Linked DNA regions of Rattus norvegicus. Each later gene encodes a partner of the first gene's protein in a complex. Links are inferred from orthologs where the notes say so. Each region holds a gene or a part of one and is shown on either strand. Other genes may lie near its edges.

Region 1 (2,213 bases):
CCACGGATGCCCAATGTACAGCCACCAAGGAGCATCTCGCCAAGTGCCCTGCAAGACCTGCTTCGGACCCTAAAGTCACCCAGCTCTCCTCAGCAGCAGCAGCAGGTGCTGAACATCCTCAAATCAAACCCACAGCTAATGGCAGCTTTCATCAAACAGCGCACAGCCAAGTATGTGGCCAATCAGCCTGGCATGCAGCCCCAGCCCGGACTTCAATCCCAGCCTGGTATGCAGCCCCAGCCTGGCATGCACCAGCAGCCCAGCCTGCAAAACCTGAACGCAATGCAAGCTGGTGTGCCACGGCCTGGTGTGCCTCCACCACAGCAGGCAATGGGAGGCCTGAACCCCCAGGGTCAGGCTCTGAATATCATGAACCCGGGACACAACCCCAACATGGCGAACATGAATCCGCAGTACCGAGAAATGGTGAGAAGACAGCTGCTACAGCACCAACAGCAGCAGCAGCAGCAGCAGCAGCAGCAGCAGCAACAGCAACAGCAACAAAGCAGTGCCAGCTTGGCCGGGGGCATGGCAGGACACAGCCAGTTCCAGCAGCCACAAGGACCTGGAGGCTACGCCCCAGCCATGCAGCAGCAACGCATGCAACAGCACCTCCCCATCCAGGGCAGCTCCATGGGCCAGATGGCTGCTCCAATGGGACAACTTGGCCAGATGGGGCAGCCTGGGCTAGGGGCAGACAGCACCCCTAATATCCAGCAGGCCCTGCAGCAGCGGATTCTGCAGCAGCAGCAGATGAAGCAACAAATTGGGTCACCAGGCCAGCCGAACCCCATGAGCCCCCAGCAGCACATGCTCTCAGGACAGCCACAGGCTTCACATCTCCCTGGCCAGCAGATCGCCACATCCCTTAGTAACCAGGTGCGGTCTCCAGCCCCTGTGCAGTCTCCACGGCCCCAATCCCAACCTCCACATTCCAGCCCGTCACCACGGATACAGCCCCAGCCTTCACCACACCATGTTTCACCCCAGACTGGTTCCCCTCACCCTGGACTTGCAGTCACCATGGCCAGCTCCATGGATCAGGGACACCTGGGGAACCCTGAACAGAGTGCAATGCTCCCCCAGCTGAATACCCCCAACAGGAGCGCGCTGTCCAGTGAACTGTCCCTGGTTGGTGATACCACGGGAGACACGCTAGAAAAGTTTGTGGAGGGCTTGTAGCATTATGAGAGCATTGGGTGTTTGTTTTTTTGTTTTTGTTTTGGGGATTTTTTGGGTCTTTTTTTTTTTTTTTTCTCCCTCTTTTTTTTTTTTTTTTTTTTTTTTTTTGGTTTTTTTTCTTTTTTGGTTTTTTTTGGGGTTTTTTTTGGGGGGGTTTTTTTTTTTTTTTTTTTTGGTTTTTGTTTTGTTGTTTTTCTTCCCCCCCCCCCCCCCCTTTCATGTTTTTGGACTTTTTGTACTGAAAATCCAGACATTTGGGCTCTTTTTATTAAGCCTAGATGGGACTGTGACTCCCAAGCATGGAAGGGCAGATTGATGTTTAAAGAAACAATACAAAGAATATATTTTTTGTTAAAAACCAGTTGATTTAAATATCTGGTGTCTCTCTCTCTCTCTTTCTCTCAGCTTTTTTTCTCTTTTTTTTCTGTTTTGTTTTTGGGGGGTGGGGGGTTGTTTGGATTCTTTTTGTCGTCATTGCTGGTGACTCATGCCTTTTTTTAACGGGAAAAACAAGTTCATTATATTCATATTTTTTATTTGTATTTTCAAGACTTAAACATTTATGTTTAAAAGTGAGAAGAAAAATAATACTCAGAAACTGGTTCCAGAAATAATGCATCTTATAATGTGTCCCGATAACGAGCTGATGTTGCGGGAAGATTTTTTTCTATAGTGAACTCTGTGGGCATCTCCAAGTATTACCCCTGGACGATAGGAATTGACTCCGGCGTGCACACATGTACACACCCACACACATCTATCTATACATGCTGGCTTAAGCCAGCCTCTTGTCTTGCAGATGTAGAAATTGTTGCTTTGTTTCTCTGATAAAACTGGTTTTAGACAAAAATAGGGATGATCACTCTCTTAGACCATGCTAATGTTAATAGAGAAGAAGCATTCTTTTCTTTCTTCTATGTGAAACTTGAAATGAGGAAAAGCAATTCTAGTGTAAATCATGCAAGCGCTATAATTACTATAAATAAGAAAATTCAAGAAGATTCAATCACTGTATAGAATGGTAACGTACC
Region 2 (4,092 bases), on another chromosome or scaffold:
GGAGGAGCTTCTCGCCCCAGGGGACAAGGGAGGCATCTTCGGAGTCGGCTCAGGAAATCTGTTGTCTCTTCTTGGGCAGGGCTCCTAGGGGCAAGAACCTCAGAGTTATCCCAGAGGGTTCTGAGCAAACAATCCCTTCGTCCTCTCGTGGAAGATTCTTGAAGCTTGGGACAGACATATGGGGTTAGGTATGAAGGGAGTAGACCACTAGACTCAGGAAGATCTTCTGATCAAAGGCTGGCCCTGGGGGAGTGGAATAGTATCTCACCTGGGTGGAGTTGGGACAGGGGACCCAGCAGTTTCACCGCGCCTAAGGAAGGCAGTCAGAACCTTCAGTGTGTCCTCTTGGAGACCCAACTCTTCAGAGCCGGCCATGGAGGTACCTGAAGCAGAAGACAGAGAATGTACCCAAATGGAGTGATAACTCAAACTTCATTCAATCACTGAATGAAGAGGACACCTTACTCCAAGGAAAAGGTGGCTTAAGGGCCAGTGGGGCAGTTGATTCCGTTGAGGAGAAAGGGCCTGAATTATTGAATCTAAGAAAGGACGTAGGGGTTGGGGATTTAGCTCAGTGGTAGAGCGCTTGCCTAGCAAGCGCAAGGCCCTGGGTTCGGTCCCCAGCTCCGAAAAAAAAGAAAAAAAAAAAGAAAGAAAGAAAGAAAGGACGTAACTGAGTGCTTGGACTCTTACATGCAGGAGCAGGAAGGGAGCCCTGAGTGCTGAAGGAGTCTCGAAGACCCTAGAGAATAGGGAACTACTAATCCTAGTACGCTTTGCGGCAAACGCTAGCCGGGTTTCCCCTCTTTTTCACCGAGCAGCCTGCTGGGAGATGTAGTTCCAATGACCTCTGGCGGGCACCAGGAGACCTCCGTGCTTGGAAGTCAGAGAGACAGGACTGGCTGTGACCTCTCCTGCAACCTAGCTCCCTCCCTGGTACCCCGCTCACCTGGATCGGGGTTCTGCCTCAGTCGTACTGGCGCACACACGCTTTCACTCAATTTCTACAAACTTTACTTCCGAAGTTCAACTTTCCCGCGCCTGCGCACTGGGCCGACACGGTAACCGCCCCAACGTCGAGGGGGCGGAGCGCTGTGTTGCATCATTTGCATATGGCGTTCCCAGCATGCCTGTAGGCGGAAGGCCAAAAAAGGGCATTGAGGGAGTTAGGCCGGTTCAGTCGGAGTGTGCTCCTAGGTTTTCTGACTTTTCTTAAAGTAAATGATGAGAAATTTTTTTTTTATCTCAAAATACCATTAGAAAGGAAAGTCCCAACGCTCGGAAGCTTAGTTGACAAAGAAGGGGGTTGCGTGGCTGCGAGTCTCAACTACTGTTTGGGAGCCCCAAAACCAGTGCTGACACCCGCGCCCCACGAGCGCGCAATTCCTCCCCTGGTAGGTAACGCGGAAGAACCGGGAGGGTGGCGGCCTCAGGGCACAGGAGCTCGGCTACCGAAAACCAGAATGGTTACGCGTTGTAGACGGAAGCCTGCAGTCTCAGCATCCAGACTGGAGGCAGTAAAGATTGCTGCAAGTTCGAGGCCAGTGAGCTCCAGGCCAGGCTGAACCACAGAATGAGCTCCAAACCAGCATGGGTTAAGCGAGTTGAAGACCAGCCTGAGCTACTGAATAAGTTTGAGGGTAGCTTGGGTTACAGAGTGCATTCGAGGCCAGCCTGGGCCACACAGTGAGTTGAAGACCAATCATGGCTACATAGCAAGTTCGAGGACAGCCTATGCTCCATACTAAGACCCTGTCTCAAAACATCCATAAAAACAATGTAGAAAAGACAAAGCAGAAGAAGCGACAGCAGCTGGGAGAAGACTCTGGAAATGAGTAAGGGTTTTCTGCAAGGGTGAGGTGGGTGTGAGAACAGTCATGATTCTTTAAAGACAGGGAAAGAGGACTCCACCCTGGAAATGGGGTACTTGCTTTGAGTAATAGGGGTTTACATTTAGAAAAGGGAAAGAACCTATGGAAAACTGTGGGGTAGGATAGGCGGTCCCGTTGGAATTGGAAAGGTGGGAAGGAGTTTCCCGTTTGTACACAGGAAAACAGGGTGAAGGAAGGCCTGTGCTGTATCGGGTCGGAGAGGTTTGAGTGCATTTGCCCCTTGACATACAGGCTCAGGAACTGCACTGTATGCGCAGGCTGGATCATGGGAACCCCGAAACCGCTGATTTTGCCTTGGCTGGTGTCTCAGCTGGACCTGGGACAGCTGAAAGGTGTGGCCTGGCTGGACGAGAGCCGTACAAAGTTCAGGATCCCATGGAAGCATGGCTTACGACAGGACGCACAGATGGCTGACTTTGGCATCTTCCAGGTGCTGGGGGGGAGGGGGCGGGGGGGGGCGTTGAGACTTCAGAGGCATTTATGGGCGTGACTAGACAGGGCTGGGTCTTGCTAATTAGGTGGGATAGACTTGGAGGGACAGCCCGGAATTGATTGGCAGATTCCAGGAATAGAATTCTGAAAGCCAGGTTGTGTCTCTAAAAAACTGTTCTGGAGCAATGGTTCTCAATCTGTGGGACGCAACCCCTTTGGGGGTTGAACGGGCCTTTCATTGGAAAACAGATATTCACATTAAGATTTATAACAGCTGGGGTTGGGATTTAGCTCAGTGGTAGAGCGCTTGCCTAGCAGGAGCAAGGCCCTAGCAAGGCCCTGGGTTCGGTCCCCAGCTCCGGAAAAAAAAAAAAAAAAAAAAGATTTATAACAGCAAAATTACAGTTTTGAAGTAGCAATGAAAAAAATTTGGGGCTGGGGACTCACTACATCATGAGGATCTGTATTCGGATAGTTGAGAACAGCTCTTTTATTAGAGGATGGGAAATCTCGGGGGGGGGGTGGGCTCTTGATTTTAGATCCCTTAAATCTTAAGAATTGGAACAGCCCTCAGGATGGGGTTATTAGCTACCAGATCAGCATGGTAGTAACAGAATGTGGGGTGAGGTACCAAGTAGGTCCTAGAATACTGGCTTAAAAAACAAAAGGCTTGGGTTGGAGAGATGGCTCAGCGGTTGGGAGCACTGACTGCTCTTCCAGAGGTCCTGAGTTCAGATCCCAGCAACCACATGGTGTCTCACAACCATCTGTAATGAGATCTGATGCCCTTTTCTGGCACATCTGAGGACAGCTACGTGTACTCGTCTATAATAAATAAACCTAAAAAAAAAAAACAAACCAAAATCAAAAGGCTTGAAGGTGGATGTGTGGCATACGTTTGTAATCCCAGCACTCTGGAAGTGGCAGCTAGAGGGTCGAAACTTGGAGCCTACCTTTGTTATAATGTGTGAGACCCTGTCTCATATTCAAAAATATTTTTCTAAAGTGTGGAAAATATAGATAAGGATGAGGTCGGGACAGAAGTCCTAGGGGCTCTATGAATGTGAGAACTTAGGTCAGGAACCAGAAATGTATGGAATATGGTGGGAGGTGTCTAAGTAGTCTTCCCTACTGTCCTGGAATCACTGATGTATCAGGCCTGGGCGGAAGCCAGTGGTGCCTACACCCCAGGGAAGGATAAGCCAGACCTGTCAACCTGGAAGAGGAATTTCCGGTCAGCCCTGAACCGGAAAGAAGTGTTGCGATTAGCTGAGGACCGGAGCAAGGACCCTTTTGACCCTCATAAAGTGTATGAGTTTGTGACTCCAGGTGTGTGTAACAAGGCTGGCTTGGGGGTCACAGGAACCGTGGGGTCTGGAAGATCTCTGCCACTTACTCTGCTCACTTCCACTCTGGACAGGAGGAGCAAGGGACTTTGTACATCTGGACACCTCCCCTGACACCAATGGCAAAAGCAGTCTGTCTGATCACCAGGTGAGGAGACACTAGTCTTGTGCCCAGCCTTGCCCCATCCATTAGGCCTCACCTTCTTCCCACCCCAGCCCTTACCCCTGGACCTCCATTCCCACCAATCTGCTACCCTCTGGCTCAGCTGAAGCTGTTGACTAGCTCCTTCCTCCTCCAGGAAGACCTCTTGGAATTACTCGATCACATGGCCTTGGGACCCCTCCCAGATGAGGGGTCCTCAGACCTGCCTATTGCTTCTGATCCTTCTCAACCACCACTAAGCCCCATTGTAAACAACTTC
Region 3 (4,269 bases), on another chromosome or scaffold:
TCAGTTTCTTCATCTATTAACCATCAGGAGGATAGTTATGAATTTCTCTCTTTTTTTGTTTGCTTGTTTGCTTTATTTTTGTTTTGTTTTGTTTTGTTTTGTTTTTTAGAGAGGGTCTCATTGGCCAGCCCCAAGCTCTCTGTGTAGACCAAACTGGCCTTGAACTCACAGAGAACCTCCTGCTTCTGCATCTGCCTCCGGAGTACAAGGATTAAAAGAATGTGTCACCATGCCTGGCTATTGATTTGTTTTTGAGACAAGGTTCTCACGTAGCCTGGCATAGCCTCAAAGGTATCATATGCTTTTGTCTCTCCTGCCTCTGTCTCCACAGTGCCGGGATCACGGGCATGGACTGTGCTGCACCTGGTTTATGAGGGGCTGAGGATCAAACCAAGGGCCTTGTGCATGATTGGCAAGCCCTCCACCAATGGAACCACAGCCCTAGCCCTCACGTTCATTTCTTTCTTCTTCTTCTCCCCACCCCCAAGACAGGGTTTCTTGGTGTAGCTCTGGTTGTCTGGGAACTAACTCGCTCTGTAGACCAGGCTGGCCTCAAACTCAGAAATCCGCCTGCCTCTGCCTCTGGAGTGCTGGGATTAAGGGCATGCACCACCACCACCTGGCTTCAAGTTTCCTCTAATTCCAGCATGGAAATCAGTCTCATAGCAAGTTCATAGCTCTCTTGTTTAGGAATGGCATAGTGGCCCCTGCCCCAGGAAGCTATGCAATAAGCATGAATCAAATGAATGAATTATATACTAACATATGTCTATATATGCATTGGCTAAATACCGTATGTAAACCTAGTGAGTTATTAGACACACACTTGAGGCAAAAATATGTTGTTTCTCACATTCACATGAAAATATTTTTCTCAACTTAATAGTTAATAAAACAAATTAGAAACATGCTTTCTCTTCTCTCATTCTCTTCCCACCCCTTACATACATACATACACATAGACACATGCATATACACATATATACTGAGACACACAATACACATACACACCTTGACACAAACACACACATACAAACACATACACACATTGACACATACACACATATACACTCATACACACATGTACACACACATACACACACACACACACACACACTTTTTAGAACTCTGTTTCTAGGCTTGACAAACATCAGTTAAACAGAACTACTTCAGCCTTCAGTACTTGGGAGGCTGAGGTAGGAATATAAAGAGTTCAAGGCTAGCCTTTGCTACACAGCAACTTCCAGACTAGCACAGGCTACGTAGCAGGCTCCTGCCCTCCTAACAAACTCTATGAGTCTGGTGTGTTTCCATACATGTTTAAGTGTTGGAAAAGAGACCCTTTGCTTTCTACGGTCAGTTCATGTATCATAGGCCCACCGACTCTGGGTTTTCATATGGTCACCAAGTAATGTTTATCTGGCTGTTTCTTGGGGACCATCCCTGCACTAGCTAGTGATGAAACGAACCAACTACTTAGCCGAATTGATATGAAGACAGCCAAGAGACAGTCTTCCGAGTCAGTTCATAGCCAGATGCAATAACACCTCTTTCTAAACTACACTGAAGCCGCAAAGAAATGAAGTTCCCAGGAAAAAAACACATTCCATCAGTACTGAAATGTGGACCACCCATTTACCTGGCTTCCCTGAGAAGACATTTACTATTTCACCACAAAATAGCTACTACACCTGTTGCTAGTCTGAAGTACAACTTATGACAGCGTTTACAATATTCCAGACTGAAAGCCGTCCGTCAACCCCTCTTACCTGTGATGACAACGTCTTGTGTCCTGAGCTTGACCAGTCACAAATGTCAGTTCACAGGGAAGGCAGGGCCTTGAACTTCAGTCTTGGCTATAGAACGTTAAGGAAGGAACCAGTTACAATATGTTCTCTGGATCCCCCCCAACTCTCCACCACCTTGGGAAAGTCACTGTGACCCTGTTGCCTGCAACCACCGCAGTGTCCAGGGTCGCCCAAGAAAGTTCTGTGCTCCTCCCCCAGGAAGAGCTAGGACAGGAGAGGCCTTTCCTAAGAGGAAGGGAGTGGGCTGGGGTTGGGGGAGCACCCCAGTGGCAGAGTGCCCCCCCCTCCAAAGACATTATTTATCACTGTGGATTTTCCTTAGAATCCTAACATTCTCTCCGAGAAAAAAAAAGTTTGGGAAAGGAGAGGTGCAGTTATTCCAGGCTAGTTGGAGAGGTACTGGGGCAGAATCACCCTCCCCGACTAACACACAGACACTCCCGGCTCCCTTTATCCATAGCAGGTCAGCCGCGCAGGCACTGCACAGAGTAGAGACTAAAGCTGGCCCCACACAGGACCGGCTGTGGCACTGGGCTCTGGAGGGCAGAGACATAGGGGTAGCTTTGGCATCGTCTCTACCGTACTGCTGGGGCCTGTTCACACCGCCCCACTAAGGTCAGCCTCAATGAGGAAACCGGTGTTCAAAGCGAGTCGGCTGAACCCACCGGTGTTCCTCCAGATCCCCAGCAGTGGCTAGACTCAGTGACCCCAGAATCAGTCTGTCCCGGGGCCTCGAGTTACCTCGCCTCTAAGATCCCCGAGGGTCTCAGGAAACGCCTCCCGGTGAGTTACGCCCAAATGCACCACGCTGTGGGAAGGGAGCGCCCCGATGTCCCCGCTCGTGTGCCCTCCCCTCAAGGGGACAACCAGAGGACCCAGCGTCGCTTCAGTTCCAGGACTCCACGAACCCTCCAGCCCACAAAACAGCTGCGAACGCCAATGTTCAGAGCCGGCACACGGCGCTCAAGGGGACTCGAAGTAGCGGACAGTTCCAGGGGCCCCGAAAGTCGCACGCGTGTGCCCTTCCTAGCGTGTGCCCTCGCCAGTGGCTGTGGGTCTCCAGACCCGCGCCCCTGGTCCACGCGCATGCGCCACCGAGCCCCTCCCCTCCCTGTCCACCCACCTCACTGTCCCGGGACGGGGGACGCCTGGCTCCCGTCCTCGCGCGTGCCCTCCCGCCCCTGGGCACCTGAGGCTGCGCTCCGCCTGCGGGTCCGCAGGGCCAGCCCGCCCGGGTAGGCGGCGCCAGGAGGGGCTCGAGCGGCTGTCTCCGCCCCCGTCACCCCTGTCGTGGGGCCGCAGCGTCCGGGGCCCCTGCCCGGCACCGCCTACGCGCGCCCGTGCCAGCCGCGCCCCCACGACACGCGCCGCCCCTCGGACGTCCCCTGCGGGGTCCCGCGGCGAGGTGACCGCCCCGGAAACCCCGCCCTCTAGGCCCGGGCCGCGGTTCAGAACGAGACACACCCCCCGGACGGCAGCATCTGATTGGCCGCTGCTGTGAGGGCGGGGCCTAAGAGGCCCTGGGCAGTTCTCCTCGATGCCCATTTAGTGCCTCGGGGCTCGGGCATCTGTTGGTAAACTGAGGCTGGCTAGGTGAAGGGACTGCCCAAGGTCACCCGACGGGCGAGACAGCCCTGTGGGAAGGGCGCGCCTGGGCGAGCGCGCCTTTCTGCTCCCAGCCCCGCGCACCGGCCAGAACTGAAGTTCAAGGCTGCGGGTCTGGTAGAGCTTCCCACCGGGTGCCCTCGGTGAACTGGTCTAGATCGTGGAGCGCGTGCCCCGAGTCCCGGGACTTCGTGGGGTGGCGGGCGGGCAGGCGGGATCTGATCTTCAGAGCCCCAGGATGCGAAATGGGGAGAAAGGAAGAGCGAGCTGGGGCACGCGGCAACAGGTGTCGGAGGTGCCAGGGTGGGTGTGGCGGGCGGGGAAGGCAGAGGCTGAAGGGCATCGAGGACGGTCGCGGGGAGGCGCGGCCGCTTCGACCCTCCGCCTCTGCCCCGCCCCGGGCTGCGGCCCCTCTGTGTACGCTGGGGGAAGGGGGAAGTTGAGGGGCTGACTATGTCCAGCTCAGGCACTGGGACTCTGCCAACTGACAGCGCAGGGGGCAGGCTGCGACTGGGAGCAACCGCTTTGTTTGCTTCACCCCTGGATCTCTGATCACGGAATGCACATAGCCCCCGGGGTGCCAACGCCTCAGGACGCTGCTCCTTTGGGAATGAAATGTGTGCTATGCCAGCCCTCCTGTCTGTCCTCACGCTGGGCCTGCCACTATGCTATTTGTGGCGATGAGCGACCAGGAAAGCCTACTAGGGAAAGGAAACTTTCAGCGCACATCTCTTCACCCTGGGAACTGGAACCAGACCCTACAGGCACATTCAGGAACGTCTTTAAAACCCACCTTTGCTGATCAGCCTCATACCTGTGGCGAACTTTGCCCCACCTGCCAGACACCCACAGAACA

What was found. The genes of interacting proteins can lie anywhere in the genome.
Region 2: the proteins of Crebbp (region 1) and Irf3 are in contact, whole or in part, in a crystal structure (PDB 5JEM), measured with the Homo sapiens proteins. The link is inferred for Rattus norvegicus from reciprocal best matches to the Homo sapiens genes CREBBP and IRF3. Residues at the interface, in NP_004371.2 of Homo sapiens: Leu2070, Thr2073, Leu2074, Lys2075, Ser2076, Ser2079, Gln2081, Gln2082, Gln2084, Gln2085, Val2086, Asn2088, Ile2089, Leu2090, Asn2093, Gln2095, Leu2096, Ala2099, Phe2100, Gln2103; in NP_001562.1 of Homo sapiens: Pro198, Gly199, Glu200, Glu201, Trp202, Glu203, Ser221, Leu322, Ile326, Leu329, Ile330, Thr333, Thr370, Cys371, Leu372, Ala374, Leu375, Glu377, Met378, Ala379, Val381, Gly382, Gly383, Ala384.
Region 3: the proteins of Crebbp (region 1) and Ppara are in contact, whole or in part, in a crystal structure (PDB 9IWL), measured with the Homo sapiens proteins. The link is inferred for Rattus norvegicus from reciprocal best matches to the Homo sapiens genes CREBBP and PPARA. Residues at the interface, in NP_004371.2 of Homo sapiens: Asp62, Ala63, Ala64, Lys66, His67, Lys68, Gln69, Leu70, Ser71, Leu73, Leu74, Arg75; in NP_001001928.1 of Homo sapiens: Val284, Thr285, Thr288, Glu289, Lys292, Phe297, Leu302, Asn303, Gln305, Val306, Thr307, Leu309, Lys310, His457, Pro458, Leu459, Glu462, Ile463.

What each region holds. Positions count from the first base shown.
Region 1 is NC_086028.1:11,964,340-11,966,552, forward strand, and holds part of Crebbp (histone lysine acetyltransferase CREBBP), read left to right. Parts: coding exon 1-1,182; 3' UTR 1,183-2,213. UniProt on the Homo sapiens protein: Acetylates histones, giving a specific tag for transcriptional activation. Mediates acetylation of histone H3 at 'Lys-18' and 'Lys-27' (H3K18ac and H3K27ac, respectively).
Region 2 is NC_086019.1:104,615,316-104,619,407, forward strand, and holds the start of Irf3 (interferon regulatory factor 3), read left to right. Parts: upstream 1-1,292; 5' UTR 1,293-1,394; intron 1,395-1,696; exon of another isoform or gene 1,697-1,734; coding exon of another isoform or gene 1,735-1,835; intron 1,836-2,070; exon of another isoform or gene 2,071-2,123; coding exon of another isoform or gene 2,124-2,157; coding exon 2,158-2,322; intron 2,323-3,481; coding exon 3,482-3,653; intron 3,654-3,744; coding exon 3,745-3,818; intron 3,819-3,969; coding exon 3,970-4,092. Other genes in the region: Bcl2l12 (bcl-2-like protein 12), read right to left, coding at 1-84, 269-375.
Region 3 is NC_086025.1:118,711,138-118,715,406, reverse strand, and holds the start of Ppara (peroxisome proliferator-activated receptor alpha), read right to left. Parts: upstream 2,801-4,269; 5' UTR 2,550-2,800; intron 1,857-2,549; 5' UTR 1,770-1,856; intron 1-1,769. UniProt on the Homo sapiens protein: Ligand-activated transcription factor. Key regulator of lipid metabolism. Activated by the endogenous ligand 1-palmitoyl-2-oleoyl-sn-glycerol-3-phosphocholine (16:0/18:1-GPC). Activated by oleylethanolamide, a naturally occurring lipid that regulates satiety.